Linked DNA regions of Macaca fascicularis. The protein of the gene in region 3 binds, or shares a complex with, the protein of the main gene of each other region. Links are inferred from orthologs where the notes say so. Each region holds a gene or a part of one and is shown on either strand. Other genes may lie near its edges. The genes, in order: CAST, CAPNS1 and calpain-2 catalytic subunit.

Region 1 (5,220 bases), on a different chromosome or scaffold from region 3:
GTTTTATAAGTGCACTGTAAGTAAAATTATGTAAAACATACATATAGAAAAAAAGGAAATCCACAAAATAATACTGTTTTGGGGGCAGTGGAATTATAGGTATGTTTTCTTTTCTTCATTTTCAGGTTCTCTATGTCATCATTTGATTCATTCTACAGTTTAAAAATTATAAGGGCCAGGCACAGTGCTTCAAGCCTGTAACCCCAGCACTTTGAGGGGCAGAAGTTGGCAGATAACTTGAGCCCAAGAGCTCAAGACCAGCCTGGCAACATAGCGAAACCCCATCTCTACAAAAAAGTACAAAAATTAGCCGGGTGTGGTGGTGCACTCCTGTAGTCCCCGCTACTCAGGAAGCTAAGGTAGGAGGATTGCTTGATTGGAAGCAGAGATTGCAGTGAACTGAGATCACACCACTGCACTCCAGCCTGGGCTACAGAGTGAGACCCTATTACAAGATAGATAGACAGATAGATAGATCAATCAATAAAACTTGTGTGTATGTACACATAAACACACACACATTTCAAAGAAAGTCTATGTGAAAAAGCACAGTACCTTTGCTGTGTTCTGTGAGGTTTCTGTAGTGGAGGGACAGCTATCCAGATCTCCTGAGAGAGCATCAATGGGGTCTTGGTCATCTGCAGATTTCTGAGATATGAGTAGAAATAACCATCAGTGAAGAAGCAGAAGGCAAAATGCAATATGGGGTATTTTCCCACCTCACTTACAAATAAAAGATGTTTCTATAAGAAAAACACTTACTGACATTCTATACTAATAATAATGTAAAGGAGATAGAAAAACAAGAAAATCTTGATGGCTTTTTTTCCCTCTACTTTTTAATAAATGTTGCTTAGTATTCTCTGAGCCTCAGTTTTCTATCCTAAAGGGCTTTTGTGAAGACTAAATGAGAGATAAACAATGGTCACACACATTTATATGCATGCTCTGGCGAAGTACCAGGCACAGAGTAGGCATTCAATGTTTTAGTTTTCTAAAATGCCAAATAACCCTATGGCTAGAATAAAACAAAATTTAATGGAAATATATTCCTATGGTCTTTACCTTTGATTCCTCTGATTTCTTTGTAGGTGGCTTCACTGGTTTGTCCTTAAAAAGAAGGCAGACTATTGGTTAAGCATAGATATTTGTAAAGGTTTACTTAGGTTTAGGCAGTAGAGAATCTATTATCCAATGACTTGACTTGGATAAAATGGAGTGTAGACTTGCAATAACTAATAAACCTGGGTCCCCATAATTTCTTTAGCAGCTTTGCTTAATTACTATTCTTTATAATCATATCTATAGACTTGGGGAAAACATATGAAAGAGTCCTGGAAGTGAAAGAAACACTATTTGTGAACCTTCTGCCATCATGTATTGTCACTTATAATTCTACTTAAAGTGTTATAAAAAGTTACTTGTGTTTTTATATCTTATTTACTATAGTTTATTACACTTAGAAAGTCATCAGGGATTTTTCCCAGTTTCAAAGGCAAGGACCTTAAATAAGAAATTTCCCAAAGAATGGAAGCAGGGTGAGTTGGTACTATCAAAGTGGGAAGGGCTCTCGCAGGATGTGGCATTGCTATCTTGTGGAATACTGAATGCAAGCAAGGAGAATTGGTTCCTGTAATAGGAGACCCTGAAGCTGACAGTGCTATTTAAACCAGGAATCATCTCACCAAAATGAATCAGTACAGAAAGAGAAGGGTGTAATTTGGACTTCCTTGTTTTCTGTTTGATGAACAGGCATGGAAAGGGTTATTTATCATCTAATGGACTCAAAAGTTAGAAACCAAATAGGAAAGAGGTGGGGGACAGGCCTGGTTGACCTACAAAAGACTGGTTTCTATCATGTGGGAGACAAAAGGTCAGGGACTTTTTGGCAGAGAAACAGGATTTGTGATTGGGAATATTGCTTTGCCTGTCTTCACTTGCAATAGTGCTGATGGTGATGTAGAAGAAGATAGGGAGACCCCAGGTCTTGGAGCTGCCTTATTAATTTGCCCTATTAATTATCCCAACACCAGCTCCTTTTCTACTGTCCTTAAACAGAGATTGCTTCCTTTGAAATCCTATCACCTTAGTGATTTTTATAGCCTTTTCTTGAAAGAGAGAATCACATTTCTTGGATTACTCTTAAGCATCAGTGACTGACTGAACAGTATTCAACCCTGTTTATACCACAGAGCCTAGCATATGCATATACAATGATATTGGCTCAAATAAATATTTACCTGCTGGTCAGCTTTGGTGACACATTAAAAGCAGTCAGTCATGATATGTCTTTATGCTATTGTAAAAGAGTACAGCTACTATTTATTTCAAGGAGGTTTGAATTTAAAGATCTTTGTAGCATAAATCCGATCTAGCAATTTGCCTCAGTTTACCTGTCCCTTATCATCCAGGAGATGTCTGTATTCAGGTGGGATAGTGTCATCTCTTTCTCCAAGCTTGTCTCTATGTTCAGCTTTTGCTTTTTCCTATATAAACAGTGAGCAGATAGAATTAATATTCATTTCCTCTTTCACTTAGAAAATACATTGTCAAATGTAGCATTCAGCATTTGTTGTACTTTTATGAGGCAAAACATATGGTCTGTTTTTATTATTTAAGCAACAGAACAACACAGATGACTTCAACAGACTGCTAGTTGGCTAAAATATATAATCCCATATGCTTCTGTATGTCAATTCATATCTGTGAATTTTCTAGCTATATTTTAAATGGAAATAAATGATTAAATAATTATCCTCAGAAACCATGTTAGGAGATTAGAACCCAAAGGTATAAAATATCTTTTTCTTTTTTTCTGTATGGTTTCACTTTTCTAATAAAAAAAATCAGGCCACTATACCCTGCCATTTAGAGAGGTCATATTTACAACTTTGCCTATTTATAAGCGACTTTGAAGGACGACAGCTAATTTGAATGGATGTGCTGACTGCTTGTGTTGCATGGGAGGAAGCCATGCATACGCCACACCTACCTCCCAGAATCTCCTCAGGGAGGCTCCGCTGGTATCTTTGTCACAGATTCAGTGACCTTCCCCTCCAGTGGAGTACAGATTGATTTTTCTACTTCCTTATAATTTCATGTTTAAAATATAGGTTAAATTCACATCAATATTCCTACGACAATGACAGAGTCAAGACCCAAGGATTAAAATTTCACTTATTAGTGAATTTTTTTTTTTTTTTACCTTTACTTTATCCTCCATTGGTTTGTTCTCATCTGGGTCAGGCTGCCTTTGTCCTAGACTATCGGAGAGTTTATCCAAGGCATCATCGAGGTCTTTGTCACTCTGCTAAAAAAGTAAATAATGCCGAATTAGTCACTCATTAGCCAAACTGTATCAGAGGCAAATTAGCCCAGGAACTCCATCTTTTCAGGAGGGAACCTGTTTCCTTGGAAGAAAAAGACATCTGGGGCTGGGGCTGGGGCTGGGGCAGGGGAGTAGACAGGGTCAGAGAAGAGAAGGCTAGGAATGGAAGATCAGGAGAAGAGCGGCAGCATCTGTCAACCTCTGGGGTTGGAGGGCCAGCGCCTTCCACCCACCCCGCCCATGTCTTGGTGAAGATCCCCAGGTTAAGAAGGTCTTAGTGGAAGCCTCAGGATCCATATCCAGTGGGTGACCTGGAGGTCACATAAAGGGTCCAAAAGCAAATGAACCAACCATGTGTGTCTTTCATTTAGAAATTAAACACCATTAGAAAACGATATGAAAACAAATATCCACTAATGTTGTCAGATGGTTAGGAAGCAGGATTCTGCAACTATAGAGGGTGAGCGTTTCTTTGGTTCCGTGGGTCCTCTCTAAGACTCTAAGATCTTGAGGGGTGCATTTCATAAAGTGCAGCATGACCCGCAGTTTGTGGGAAGCCATGGAGCTCGGCACTGCCATCCTAATACCTCCTAGGACGCAAAACCCCAGAGACAATCTGGGGTCAGGAGAGTGGAAGGGGCTTCTCTGCCACACTGGTATGAGTGGCCTGAAAGACTTCAGAGAATTTCTGAACTGGTGGGGATACCTCTCTTTTCATCTTTAGGAAGCTCATGGAAGCTAAATTGCAGAAATGGGAGCTGGTATTCTACACGAAAAAAATTATGGAACAACAATGTCACTGTAACTAAGATAGCTGAATTCCTCTAACATTTATTTACTGTATGATTCAGGCAGCTTATTTAACCTCTTTCGGCCTCAGCTTCCTTGGCCATAAAATGTGAATAACAGTAGTACCTATACTCCTAAGTTGCTGAGAAAAGTAAATGATTGAAAAGGCATTTAAAACAGTACTAGTTGTATGTTAGGACCCAACAAATGGTAAATTATTATTAGTATTATTATAGCAAAATCCTAAGTTTTGTTTCAAAATATTTTTCAACACATTGCATTCAAAATTCCACCTCTAAATGAATTCAATTAAAATGTGTTTAATATCTACATTGTATAAGATACCATGCTGAACTCTGTCCAATACTGTATAGAACTTTCCAGTTGATTTTCAAAGTGTTTTCACATACACTATCCAGTTTTATTTGATGCCCACAATGGTTCTTAGTGAACTAAGCAGGCTTTTTGGAGGTAAAAAGCTCAGGGAAGCTAAGTCAGTTGTTTGAAAACAAATTGTTAAAAAGTGAATAGAACCCAGGTCTTGGGACTGATAAAGGTTTTCCCTGTCATGGCTTAGTCACATCCATGATCTTCTATTTTCTTTGAAGCAGTTTTTCCTGTTGGAGTGATTTTATTACACAGATCTTTGAAAGCATGTCTTCAGATGCTTTCAGTGTATCTAACACTGCTAATAACAATCTAATAATCTCAGCAAAGAAAGCTCCCGTGAATCATCATGGCTTGACTCTTTGATTTCCCAATTTTTTATCTAAATAAAGCTTTATACCTTGTTTTAGTGACATCTTCAAATAAAATGTTAACTAAAAACAAGACTCTCTGATGGGAAATGTGATCAGAGAAGTGTCACTGGAAAACCTACTTCTTAAAGGCAAAAAAGTTTCTGATTGCAAATGTTTACTGATAGCCTCCATCAGGGCAGAATCTCTGGCCTGAATATTAAGAACTGAAGTGTAAATGGCAGCCTAGGCTATTAATGGTTCTTCCTTTCTGTTGCATGGGGACTTTTTTCATTGTGGGTGTGTTTACACACACATGCACACACACACACATACACACACACAGGGCATTTTACTGGTTTTAAG
Region 2 (5,896 bases), on a different chromosome or scaffold from region 3:
AGTTTGTCTCCTTATAAACTATTTTTTAAAACAAAAATAAATAAAAATATGCATGCATCAAAGGTCAGCTGATGGCTGGCCCATATACAGATATATGTGTGTTCCTGAGCACACTGCCTCATACACTTTCACGCATGTGGGTGTGCTCTTAGGTGTGTGTGTGTGTACATGTGCATGTGGCTGTTATACATTTAGGTTCCCAAGCCCAAAAGACCTGAGTCCACAGACTGGAGTGACGAAACCTCTGCTCACTGCAACCTCCACCTCCCGGGTTTAAGCTATTCTCCTGCCTCAGCCTCCCAAGTAGCTGAGACTATAGCTGCACACCACCACGCCCGGCTAATTTTTGTATTTTTTAATAGAGATGGGGTTTCACCCTGTTGGCCAGGCTGGTCTCGAACTCCTGACCTCAGGTGATCTGCCCACCTCGGCCTCCCAAAGTGTTGGGATTACAGGCATGAGCCACCACGCCTGACCTTTATCTATAACTTGAGACAAATGACTGCTTCTCTCAGGAAACTGAGCCTCAGTTTCCTCATCTGTAAAATGGAGTATAATAATTGTGCCTGTCCAACAGGGTGGTTGTGAAGGTTCGGTCACTTTATATAATTAAAGTGCCAGCTGTAACAGCTGGCATTGTTATGATTTACTGCCACATGTCTGTAGGTGAGTGTGCTCTGATGAATGCATTTCCACATCTGTGGATATGAAGGCTACACATTGGCTTTCCAAACATACTCTCAAAAAACTCCCTGTGCACCCAGGGCCTCTCCCACACTGCTCCCAAGGATACATCCATCACGGCCACCATGCTGCGACACGTGTCAATGCCAAAACCATCAGTCTTCAGATCAGGGTCTGTGGGCAACAGGTTGAAAGTCAGAGGCCAGAGGCCAAAGCCACTCAGGCCCCTCTGCCTCTAAACCTACCCTATTCCTTGAGCCCGGTCACTTACGTCGTGTCACAACCTTATTGAGAATGTTCATGAGTTCTGTGGCGCTGACCTCCATGTCCTGCAGACGGAAGTTAGGGGCAAGTCAGGCGTGACTGAAGGGTCTGAGAATGTCATGGAGAATGGGAACACTGGGATTGTCACGGTCAAGGGTGTGTGCGCAAGGGCAGCCACAAGGGAAGGGATGGAAGGGTTAGGACGGGGTCAGGGAACCCCAGGTTACTTACATCTCCAGCCAGCTGGGCAAAGAGTCTCCGGAACTGCCGGACCTCCTCACTCTCGTTGGCCTCAATGTTGGAGTAATGTGTGCGTGGGGGCTGCAGAGGGAGGAGAGCTCAGAGCAGGGGGAGGGGAACCCGGCCAGGACGGCTCCCCACACCAAGGCACCCTGGGTGAGAAAGTCAGAGTGGGCTGGGCAGCTTGATGAGAAAAAGAATGAGAGGTGGTAGTGAATGGGTGCGCGTATGTGGGGCATGGCTAAGACCCATGGCGAAGCTGCGGACATGGCACGGGAGGAACTGGCAGAGGAATTTCACAAGAAGGGGAGGAAGGTGGGACTTCTCTACAGGAACAGGAATGGGACCTCGAAGAGGCCTTGGCAGGAGAAGGGGGTCTGGTTGCAGAGTGGGCTTACCGGGGGCTCCGGGTTGTATTGCGCAGCCGCCTCGCTGCGAAGAGATAAGGGGGAGGGGTTAGTGTCGGGGGCGGGGCCTCCAACGGGCAGTACTACAGAACCATCAGCCCCAACGCTCCAGATGTCAGCCGCTATCTTCCTTACTTGGTTGCTGTGCCCTTCATCTGTTCTTGTCCTCATCTGTCCCAATCCACATGGCCCTGGTCGTGCCCCTCTTCTCCCTTCCTCAGGCCAACCCCACCCTTCAGGAGACCCAGAGATCCGTCCCCTGGGAGGCTCCACTCCTGCCAGGCACACCTACCCAGTGGCAGATTCCAGTCATCTCGGCCACCCTCAACCTAAAAATCCCACACAGAATCAAAAACCCCCGCCCCTTGGAGGGCTCACTTCATAGAGGCTCTGCCCCAGCTTCCCAAGGTCTTATCCTCCTTAGGTGCCATCTGCCCAAGACTCTACTCCATGGCCCCCTTCCTAAACACCTGTCTTCCCAACATCCTACCCCAGCCATTGGTCCCCGTCCCTTCAAGGGATCACTGCTCAGTGGCCATGACTAATTAGGCCAACCTGCCCTACCCCTACCAGGGCATTTTTCTCCATTAATCCCGCCAGTTCCCAGCAAGCCCAGCCCATTCTGGGCTATTTCCTCTATCCCATTAGGTCTTGCTTTCTCCTGGGCTCACCTCCTCATTAACCCACCTAAAACCTCTGACCACACTCATAAGTCAAGCCCCGACCGTAAAATGTCACTCAGACGCATTGGCTCCGCCCCTTTAACGTTCATCTCCAGGTTAGCCAATGCAGGCCGGGCCCAGACCCATAAGCCCCACCCTCCAAAACTCCACATCGGTCCCCTCAGGACCACATTGTCCTGGTCCCACACAATCAGACTACTCCCGTATCAAGCCCCGCTCCCAAGGACTGATATCCGCCTCATTGGGGTCCACCCCCTTATAACAGGACTCTCAAACTAGGCCACCCCGGCCTAATTCAGGTACCCAGGTTAGCCTCCAGGTTAATCCTATTATTGTTAGACCACGCCCCTCCCGGACCACGCCCCCTGAGGCACCTCCCATTCACACTTCCAGGCCCCGCCCCTCCGATAGTCGCCGCCTTACCTGATGGCGCTGATGACTCCGCCTAGGATGCGCATGGCAGTTCCACCGCCACCGCCGCCTCCGCCGCCGCCTCCACCACCGCCGCCGCCGCCCCCGGCCCCGCTGATCAGGCCTCCAAGCACATTCCCCAGGCCCCCACCCAGGCCCCCGCCTGCCCCGCCGCCGCCGCCGCCGCCCTTCAAGAACGAGTTAACCAGGAACATGGCTGCGACTCACTGCTGGGGGGAAAAAAGGGGACCAGTGGGTGCTTCGCCCCTGAGCCCACACCCTCCCCTCAAACACGCATTTCCGGCAGCTGGACACGGGAGAAGGGATCTGAGGCCTCCGGATGGGGGTCTGAGTTTGCGAGGGCGGGTTGTCCTCGCAAGGTTTGCAACCTCCTCGGGTCTAAAAGGCACCCGTGGGCTTGAGGGAGCCTGGACTGGGTGCACGCGTTAACGGGAGGGTGTAGGTCTGGTGGGGGTTCTCTTGGTGGGGACCCCAAGTTGGCGTAAGGCGTGCCCGACGTGTCTGGGCGCTAGAATGTGAGATCCAGAGCCCAGACTGAATGTAAAGGTCCTTGGCGGGTCATGGGCGCGGAGCAAACATCCACCGCCTAAAGGGCCCCAGGGCGGGGTTTAGGAAATCCTAAATGTGGGCTTGAGAATTCAGGTATTCCCAGCGGCAGGATTCCAGTGTCACCTCTGGCTTTGTGGGCTCGGGTCTAAGATCGTGGCTGTGAGCCCTGGGTTCCCGGATAATGGGGTCCCTCGCTGGAACTGGGGGCACAGATCTACGATCGTGGTTCAAGACACCCCAAGGAAGAATTCACAGGGTATCTCTGAAACCTATGGGCCTGTATTTTGGATCATGAGACAGAGGGTGGAGAAGTAGGGGACGTCCCCGGGACGGCATGAAAGGGTGTCGAACAGGTCTGAGGGTTCGAATCTGAGACCATGGATCTGGGGGGCTCCTGAGGCCGAGACTTCACGGTTCGCCAGGTCTGGGGGCCGCCAAAGCCGGAATTGCGGGGTGCGGAGGGGGTACGGGCTGGGCGCTTACCACCTCACGCGTCCAAAGGTCTGGGAGTCCGTTCCGCTGCCGCTCCCGGGCCTCCCGCAGCGTCCGGCTCCTGAGGGCGGGGCCGGTGACTCAGGCCGCAACTCTCGGGTCTGACACTGCACCGCGGCCCGGCTGTCTCCCGCGCGGTCCTAGAGCCGAAGCGGACATTGCGCATGCGCACCCCACATCGCCCTGCTAGCGGGACCCGGATTTGGGCCCCGCCCTACACGTTTCCAGCGCCGGAGGTCTTAACCCCGCCCTGACTCGGTAGGCTGGGGTCTTCCCGACACCCCTCAGGTCTGGGTGCAGGCGCCGGGTGATGAGAACTCGGAGGAGACCCACACCCCCCCAGTGTCGTAGTGTGACAGCCCCTAGGGCCTGCCAATATCCTTCCAGGGTGGCAGTTTTCGGTCCGCTCACTAAGGGACTCCGCACGGGCCCTTTCCAGGTGTTGTCGCGACAAACACCTCCTGGAGGCCTGTAGTATGCTTTGGCTCACACGCAGGAGGACAATCGCCCGTGTCTGTGGCGAGGACTGAGGCTGGAGTGCCTTTCCCAGTGCCTGCAGCAGCCCGGATGGCAGTCAAACCGCAGGCAGCGCAGGCGCCGCCTCCCAGGCGAACCTTACCACGTCCCGCCCCAGTCAGGGGCCACATGAATCATTCCTTCCTGGACTGGCCCAAAGGGTGTCCTCAGTATGCTAGTGTCTAAAGAAGGCCCCAGACACAGGAAGATTCCTTTGGCGGCGGCCGGGTTTCTTTATTTACTTAAAAAATATTGTTGTTTTTACGTAATAGAGACGGAGGTCTAGCCATGTTGCTCAGGCTGCTCTTGAACTCCGGGCCTCAAGCCATCTCTGCCCTCAAGCCATCCTCCTGCCTCAGCTTCCCAAAGTACTGGGAGGTACTGGGAATACAGGTATGGGCTACCGGCCTTTTTTTGATTTAATTTAATTTTTAACAATATTGTTTTTACATAGCCTGGTTTTTTTCTTTCTTTTCTTTTTTTTTTTTTTTGAGACAGCATCTTGCTCTGTTGCCCAGGCTGGAGTGCAATGGCGCCATCTTGGCTCACTGCAGTCTCCGCCTCCCAGGTTCAAGCGATTCTCCTGCCTCAACCTCCCGAGTAGCTAGGATTACAGGCGTGCACCACCACGCCCAGCTAATTTTTGTATTTTTGGTAGAGACGGGGTTTCGCCATGTTGACCAGGCTAGTCTCAAACTCCTGATCTTAGGTGATCCACCCGCCTCGGCCTGCCAAAGTGCTGGGATTACAGGCGTGAGCCACAGGTGTCCAGTACTTTTTCAGGACTCCTCAGGGGCAGCTAAATATGGCCCCCAGGCAGGCTGGTTGGCTCTTAGTCCCTACCCTGGAGGCTGGCTAGGCTTGAGTTGAATCCTGGCTATGCCCTGTAATAACTGCACAACCCCAAAACAGTGACTTGATATTCCTGAGCAGCAATTTTCTCATCTGTAAAATGTGATCATGGGTTGCTCCATACCACTAGGCCCCCTATCAAAATTAAATGATATCGGCAGAGCACGGTGGCTCAAGCCTGTAATCCCAGCACTTTGGGAGGCCGAGACTCGTGGATCACGAGGTCAGGAGATTGAGATCATCCTGGCTAACCCAGTGAAACCCCGTCTGTACTAAAAAATTCAAAAAACTAGCCGGGCGAGGTGGCGGGCGCCTGTAGTCCCAGCTACTAGGGAGGCTGAGGCAAGAGAATGGCGTGAATCCGGGAGGCGGAGCTTGCAGTGAGCTGAGATCCGGGCACTGCACTCCAGCCTGGGCGACAGAGCGAGACTCCGTCTCAAAAAAAAAAAAAAAAAAAAAAAATTAAATGATATCTGCAGGAATACTGATTATTAAAAAAAAACTTAAAGCAGTGGCTGGGTGTGATAGTTCATGCCTGTATGCCCTGCACTTTGGGAGGCTGAGGCAGAAGGATCTCTTGAGCTCAGGAGTTCGACTCCAGCCTGGGCAATATAGTGAGAACTTGTCTCTACAAATAATAATAATATAGAAATTAGCTGAGTGTGGTGGCATGTGCCTAGTCCCAGCTACTCTGGAGACAGGTGGGAGGATCACCAGAGCCCAAGAGGCAGAGGTTACAGTGAGCCGAGATCATGCCACTGCACTACAATCTGGGTG
Region 3 (5,990 bases):
ATGGGAACAATGAAAATACCCAACTCAGAGGATTGTTCTGAGTGTTAAATGAGATAATGATGTAAACATGCCCTGGCAAGCACTCCATAAATGTGATCTATTATTACTACTGTTGAAGAAGTTGATGATAACAGTCACTGAACTTGGAGACAGGACATATGGGTTTGAGGCTGAGTTTGGCCAGCTGAAGATAAGCAAGTGAGAAACCTCTCAGAGGTTTGATTTTCTTGGGGGAAACATAGGGGCTCACAATATCTGCCCTTGCTCCTAATGGACTGGTTGCTGGGAGGATCTGATGTGCCACCCGGATCACGCCTGCTTTCTCCTCACTGTGCCCCTGCATGGTCCTTGGACCCCACTGGACTTACTGCTTTAATCCCCCTTCCAGGTGCTGGAGCCACTCTTGCCAGTGTTGTGAAATCCTCTCTCCGAGGAAGAGCAGCTCCTCCTGCTGCAAGGCTAACCTGCTCCCCTCTCCTGCCCACAACCCGTATTCTCACTTCCTCAGGGACCCTGTTTCACTGCCCCTCCCTGCCTTTATCTTTAATCCCTTCCTCCTCGTGATTCAACATGTGACACATTCAAGTTGTTCTCATATGAAAAAAAAAAAACCGGCTCTCAAAATCCAGGTCCTGCTCTACCTATCAGTTCTCCTCTCTTCCCAGGGGCCCTTCTTAAATGAGTTGATCACGTTCTTCATTTCCAGTTCCTTTACTCTGGAGTCTATAACAATCTGGCTTCTACCCTCACCTTTCCATTGAAATTGCTCTGCTAAACTCACCAATGACCTGCTAGTGTTCAAATCCAGTGGAAACAATTGTGCTCTCCTTGCCAGACCTCAGCAGCATTTGAGAAGGTAGGATAGAGGCAGACAACGCAGCCATAAAGGGTGGGCTCAACATGCACAGACTACACACAGTCCTGGATCTATGGCCTATATCCACTTGACTCTGAGCAAGGATTTAACCTTCCCAAGCCTCAATTTCTTCAACTGGCAAATGGGGATCGTAATAGTCACACTCTTCCTTGGTAGTGCAGTGCACAGCCCGCCTGCCCTAAGCAGTGGCCCTAGATCATCTCTAGACCTCTATATCCTCATCTGGAAGTCCCACAGGCATTTCCAACTGTTGGGGGACCTGTCTCTGTCACCTCACTAGCCTCAGAAGTAAGTCTTCAGAAGCAGAAACCATATGCATTGTGCCTAGCATATAGGAGGTATTCGAGAAATGCTTATTGAATGAACGAAAGAATAAGTGAATGAGTGTGAACTCACTGTGTAAACTGTAAAGTGCCATGCAAATGTAAAGTGAACACATTCTCTTGGTTTGCGTTTCATTTTTTTTTTTTTTTTTACTTTTTTTATAGAGACAAGTCTTACTGTGTTGCCCGGGCTGGTCTTGAACTCCTGGCTCAAGTGATCCTCCCACCTTGGCCTCCCATAGTGCTGGGATTACAGGCGTGAGGCACCACGTCAGGTCAGTTTACCACTTTCGCAACCATAATTTCATCTGAGGCTCATTACAATCCTGCATCCATTCATTCTACAGTCACTTCTTTTGTGTTCACTAGTGTATCTCCTGAGCTCTCAGGACAGTGCCTGGCATGTAATAGGTGCTCCATCAATGTTGTTGAATGAATGAGTGAATGAATGAATGGATGAATACTGTGAAAGGCATGGCTATGTGCTAGGCACTGGGGATATACTGGTAAATAATATACACATGATTCCTGCAGTTCAGTAGGAAGAACAAATACATGTGATTATATTTCTAAACTGTGACAATGCTATGAAGGAAATGAGTGGGGTGAGAGTTAGAGAATAACAAGGTGGGGAGGTGGCTGCTAAGAAGGGTCAGAAAATACCTGTTTGAGGAGGGAACATGTGACTAAGTTGGAAAGAATGAGAGTGAGCCACACTCCAGGTAAGAGCGTGCCTTGCTGGTGAGAAGGCCTCGTGCAGGCAAGAACTGGCTCTTTGAGAGACTGAAAGGAGGCCAGGATGGCAGGGTCTGGAGGGCCACGAAAGAGAGAAAATATCTAGGCAGGGTGTGTTATTTTAGATGAAGACACGGAGGCACAGAGAGTTTAAACCGCTTCCTCAAGGTCACCCAGCAGGTTAGCAAGAAGGTGAATCCAAGTGCTCTGAGTCTGGGCTAGGGTGCTTCCTGCAGCCCTCGCTACCTATGAGCTGGATTTAGGGAAACAGAAGGTGACCTGGGAGGCTGCCGGGTGTGGAAGCAGAGCTGGAAGGCTTGTTCTCATAACAGGAATCTAGAAGTTGGACTTCAGGCAGGCTTCCCTAGGCGTGGTAGGGGAAGCCTGGGGAAGTCCCAAAGGAGGCGGTTCCCCAAGAAACGGAATGGACAAGTAGATTGGGGAGGGCAAGTTGTCCCAGGGCCGGGAGGTCAGAGACCCTGGGGGACGGGATAATGGGGTCTGGAGGGCTCCCGGAGCTTTCCCCAGTGAGGATTCCCACCAGGCAAACCATGAGACACCTCCGTGTCCTGGGTTAATTACCATTGTCGATGTTATGGGGAGGTATCGCTGGCTCCCCTTTGGAAAAATAAATGTAACCCCAGGGCTGCATGAGACTATCCTTAGTCACAAAATGACCAGGCTCTGGCCTGTCCCCCTCCACGAACAGACAGAACCCCAGTTGGAGACGGACTTTGTCTGGTGGATGTTGCCTCTCCCTTCTCTGCAGACCCGATTCCCCTCCTCTTCCAGGTCCCCGCTACAGTTCAATTACAAGTTTCACCCCGGCCTCCTGTGTCACCCTGAGTTTTTGTGAAGTCCTAAATTGGCCTGCTAGTGGGATTTGAGTGCAGTGATTCGCCCCGACCCGCCCAGGAAAGCGTGGTGGGTGGAAGAGAGGGCAGGCCCCGTGAGTTCCCCCACGCTCGAAAGGAGTCCCAGACTCCGGTGGCGTGTAGGTGTCGCAGGCCTGCGGGGTCCTGGCTTGCGGCTTCCCCACTGCAGCCGCGCCCCAGCGCGCCGCGGGCCAGCTGCACCCCTCCCTGCCCGGCACCCCGCCCTGCCCGCGTCCTGCCGCGCACTTCCTACCGTGGGTCGCTTCCACTCGATGCCCCGGGTTTTGCTGGAGTAGGGCCCCAACTCCTTGAAGCCCAGGGCCGAGGGGATGGCTGGGAAGGAGGGGTCCTGGAAGAGCGTCCCGGCCTCCAGGCACTCGTTCCGCAGCGCCTCATAGTCCTGGTTGAGGTACTTGATGGCCCTCTCGTGGGAGCCCAGCCCCTCGGCCGCCTCCCGGTCCTTCACCAGCTTGGCCGCGATGCCCGCCATGCTGCGGCCCCGGCGGCCGTGCTGCTCACAGAAAGGTCGGGGCGACTTCGCGCTGCGCTCGGCTGGGGCGCGGCCAGGGCCCGGCGCGCTGCTGCGGACACTGCGGGCGCAGCCACTGCGAGCGATGATTCACCGGAGGGAAGCGGCCCGGCCCGCGGGGTGTGGCCTCAGCCGCTCCCGGCCTGATGGGCTCCCGGCCCGGGACCAGGCCAGCCTGCGGCCTGCGGAGCGCCGGGACCGCCGCGACCCGGGGCCAGTGCTGCCATCTGCGGACAGCTCCCGGGATGGCGCGGCCTGGCGCCGGGAAGGCTCGCGAATCGCGGTCCAGAGTTGGGGCTCCCACCGGAACCCGAGGCCACCTTTACACTCAATGCGGAGGAAGGCTGGGCGACACCGGAGGCTAGGGTAGTTGTGGCCGTCCAGAAAACACCCGGGGAGTTAGCAGAGGATCAGGTAGTGAAGTTGAGGAAACTAAATCAGCTGCCCTGAACCTTGTGCCAAACACCGTCTTAACGGCTCTGCATACATCATCTCATTCAATCCTCCCAGCAACTCTGAAGAAGGCACTGATATTGTTCCCATCTTACAGATGAGAAAACTGAGCCTCAGAGAGGCTAAATGACTTCCCAATGTGGCACAACGGTCACAGGCAGAACAGGGACTCTAAGCCACGGAGGCCTGTTGCAATCACGATGCTGCAGTTACTACTGCTCAGCTGTTTATTTGATTACAGATAGGGTTGTCAGATTTGGCCAGTAAGGCTGGGCGCGGTGGCTCACGCCTGTAATCCCAACACTTTGGGAGGCTGGAGGCAGGTGGATCACCTGAGGTCAGGAGTTCGAGACCAGCCTGGCCAACATGGTGAAACCCCGTCTCTACTAAAAATACGTTGTGGCAGGTGCCTGTGACCCCAGTTACTTGGGAGGCTGGGACAGGAGAATTGCTTGAACCCAGGAGGCAGAAGTTGCAGTGAGACGAGATCGCGCCACTACACTCCAGCCTGGGTGACAAAGCAAAACACCGTATCAAAAATAAAATAATATAATATAAAATAAAAAGATTTGGCCAATAAAACAACAGCCCTCCCAAATGTTTAATTTGAATTTCAGATAAACAACAGATACTTTTAAAGTATATGTAGGCCCCAAATATTGCATGGGTATACATACTTATACTAAAAGAAAATATGATTCATTGTTTATCTGAAACTCATATTTAACTGGTAGGATGAGTTGGGTTACTGTTGGAGAGGGCTTAGAATAGTGCCTGTGTTGGCTACTGTGACCACTCTGTTGTGGAGTCAGGGTGTGATTCTCAGCTCACACACAGAGACATGGGTGCGTGCCAAGAAATGCAGATGGGAAGAAATTACCTCCTCTCCTTCTCTACAGTAGTAGGAAGGAATTTGGGTTTCACTGGAAAATTGTGCATGGTGTACAGCAGTGGTTCTCCACTGGGGCAGTTGTGTCCCATATCCCACCCCAGGAAACATTTGGGAATGTCTGGAGATAGTTTTTATTGTCACAGCTAGGAGATGAGGTGCTACTGGCCTTTACTAAGTAGAAGTTAGGGATGCTACTAAGCATCTTACAATGTCCGGGATAACTCTTGTGAACCCAGAAAACCTGAAACAGGTCTCAGTTAATTTAGAAAGTTAATTTTGCCATGGTTGAAGACGCACACCTGTGACACAGGAAGCCCTGAGGACACGTGCCCAAGGTGGTTGGGGTGCAGCTTGGATTTATACATGTTAGGGAGGCAAGAATCATCAATTAAGTACATTTAAGAAATACATTGGTTTGGTTCAGAATGGCAGGACAACTCAAAGTGAGGTGGTGGGGGGTGGGGGCGTGGGTGGGGGCAGTGGGAGTGGCTTCCAGGATATAGGTAAATATTTTAACATTTTCTGGTTGACAATTGGTTAAGTTTGCCTAAAGGCCTGGGATCAATAGAAAGGAATGTTTGGGTTGCAATAAGAGGTTGTGGAGACAAAAGTTTTATCACATAGATGAAACTTTTAACTAGCAGGCTTCAGAGTGAACAGGCTGTAAAATGTTTCTTATCAGACCTAAAGCCTGCATTGATGTTCACACCGGAGAGGTATAATGAGGCATGTCTAACCTCCCCTTTCCTTCATGGCCTGAAAATTTCAGGTTAAAATTTTAAGAGCCCCGACTAAGGGGAAACCATCCATTTAGATGGTTGGGGGTGGAGGGGTGCAGTGGGGGCTTAGAATTTTATTTTTGGTTTACATTCTGCACCCAAAAGATGATCTAGTCCAAGACATCAGTCATGCAGAGGCTGAGAGCCTGGTTTAGAGCATCTCCTTCCAGAAGATCTGGCTCTAGCCTTTCGTTGTTTTTTTTTTTTTTTGAGATGTAGTCTCCCCCTGTCAGCCAGGCTGGAGTGCAGTGACATGATCTCAACGATCTCAGCGAACTGCAACCTCTGCCTCCCAGGTTCCAGTGATTCTCCTGCCTCAGCCTCTCAAGTAGCTGGGATTACAGGTGTACACCACCACACCTGGCTAATTTTTTATATTTTTTGTAGAGATGGGGTTTCACCATGTTGGCCAGGCTGGTCTCGAATTACTGACCTCAGGTGATCCCCTTGCCTCTGCCTCCCAAAGTGCTGAGATTACAGGTGTGAGCCGCCACACAGGCCCCTTTCATTGTTTTTGAGTTATTTTG

Evidence for each region.
Region 1: the proteins of calpain-2 catalytic subunit (region 3) and CAST are in contact, whole or in part, in a crystal structure (PDB 3BOW), measured with the Rattus norvegicus proteins. The link is inferred for Macaca fascicularis from reciprocal best matches to the Homo sapiens genes CAPN2 and CAST. Residues at the interface, in NP_058812.1 of Rattus norvegicus: Glu62, Leu63, Ser68, Lys69, Gln99, Gly100, Ala101, Leu102, Gly103, Trp106, Lys161, Asp162, Leu165, Leu166, His169, Ser196, Gly197, Gly198, Thr200, Ser241, Asp243, Ile244, Thr245, Asp249, Ser250, Glu251, Ala252, Val253, Val259, Lys260; in NP_445747.2 of Rattus norvegicus: Glu571, Leu572, Asp573, Ala575, Leu576, Asp577, Glu578, Leu579, Ser580, Ser582, Leu583, Gly584, Gln585, Arg586, Gln587, Pro588, Leu596, Asp597, Asp598, Lys599, Val600, Lys601, Glu602, Lys603, Ile604, Lys605, Ala606, Glu607, His608, Ser609.
Region 2: the proteins of calpain-2 catalytic subunit (region 3) and CAPNS1 are in contact, whole or in part, in a crystal structure (PDB 1KFU), measured with the Homo sapiens proteins. The link is inferred for Macaca fascicularis from reciprocal best matches to the Homo sapiens genes CAPN2 and CAPNS1. Residues at the interface, in NP_001739.3 of Homo sapiens: Ala2, Gly3, Ile4, Ala5, Lys7, Leu8, Ala9, Arg12, Glu13, Glu16, Phe60, Arg366, Arg416, Arg417, Arg418, Arg420, Asp494, Ile516, Phe551, Glu575, Lys578, Val581, Asp582, Asp585, Gly588, Ser589, Gly590, Gln641, Leu642, Gln644; in NP_001003962.1 of Homo sapiens: Thr85, His86, Ser88, Asp111, Asp112, Met113, Glu114, Ser116, Thr118, Asp142, Arg145, Ser146, Ala149, Val150, Met151, Asp152, Ser153, Asp154, Thr155, Thr156, Gly157, Gly160, Phe161, Glu163, Asn206, His208, Leu209, Met212, Ile213, Arg215.

What each region holds. Positions count from the first base shown.
Region 1 is NC_088380.1:100,740,546-100,745,765, reverse strand, and holds part of CAST (calpastatin), read right to left. Parts: intron 3,311-5,220; coding exon 3,206-3,310; intron 2,487-3,205; coding exon 2,394-2,486; intron 1,111-2,393; coding exon 1,066-1,110; intron 649-1,065; coding exon 556-648; intron 1-555.
Region 2 is NC_088393.1:43,385,076-43,390,971, reverse strand, and holds the start of CAPNS1 (calpain small subunit 1), read right to left. Parts: upstream 3,835-5,896; 5' UTR 3,743-3,834; intron 2,920-3,742; exon of another isoform or gene 2,917-2,919; 5' UTR 2,905-2,916; coding exon 2,702-2,904; intron 1,621-2,701; coding exon 1,587-1,620; intron 1,270-1,586; coding exon 1,180-1,269; intron 1,014-1,179; coding exon 956-1,013; intron 859-955; coding exon 794-858; intron 1-793. UniProt on the Homo sapiens protein: Regulatory subunit of the calcium-regulated non-lysosomal thiol-protease which catalyzes limited proteolysis of substrates involved in cytoskeletal remodeling and signal transduction. Essential for embryonic development.
Region 3 is NC_088375.1:81,673,157-81,679,146, reverse strand, and holds the start of calpain-2 catalytic subunit, read right to left. Parts: upstream 3,403-5,990; 5' UTR 3,301-3,402; coding exon 3,064-3,300; intron 1-3,063. UniProt on the Homo sapiens protein: Calcium-regulated non-lysosomal thiol-protease which catalyzes limited proteolysis of substrates involved in cytoskeletal remodeling and signal transduction. Proteolytically cleaves MYOC at 'Arg-226'.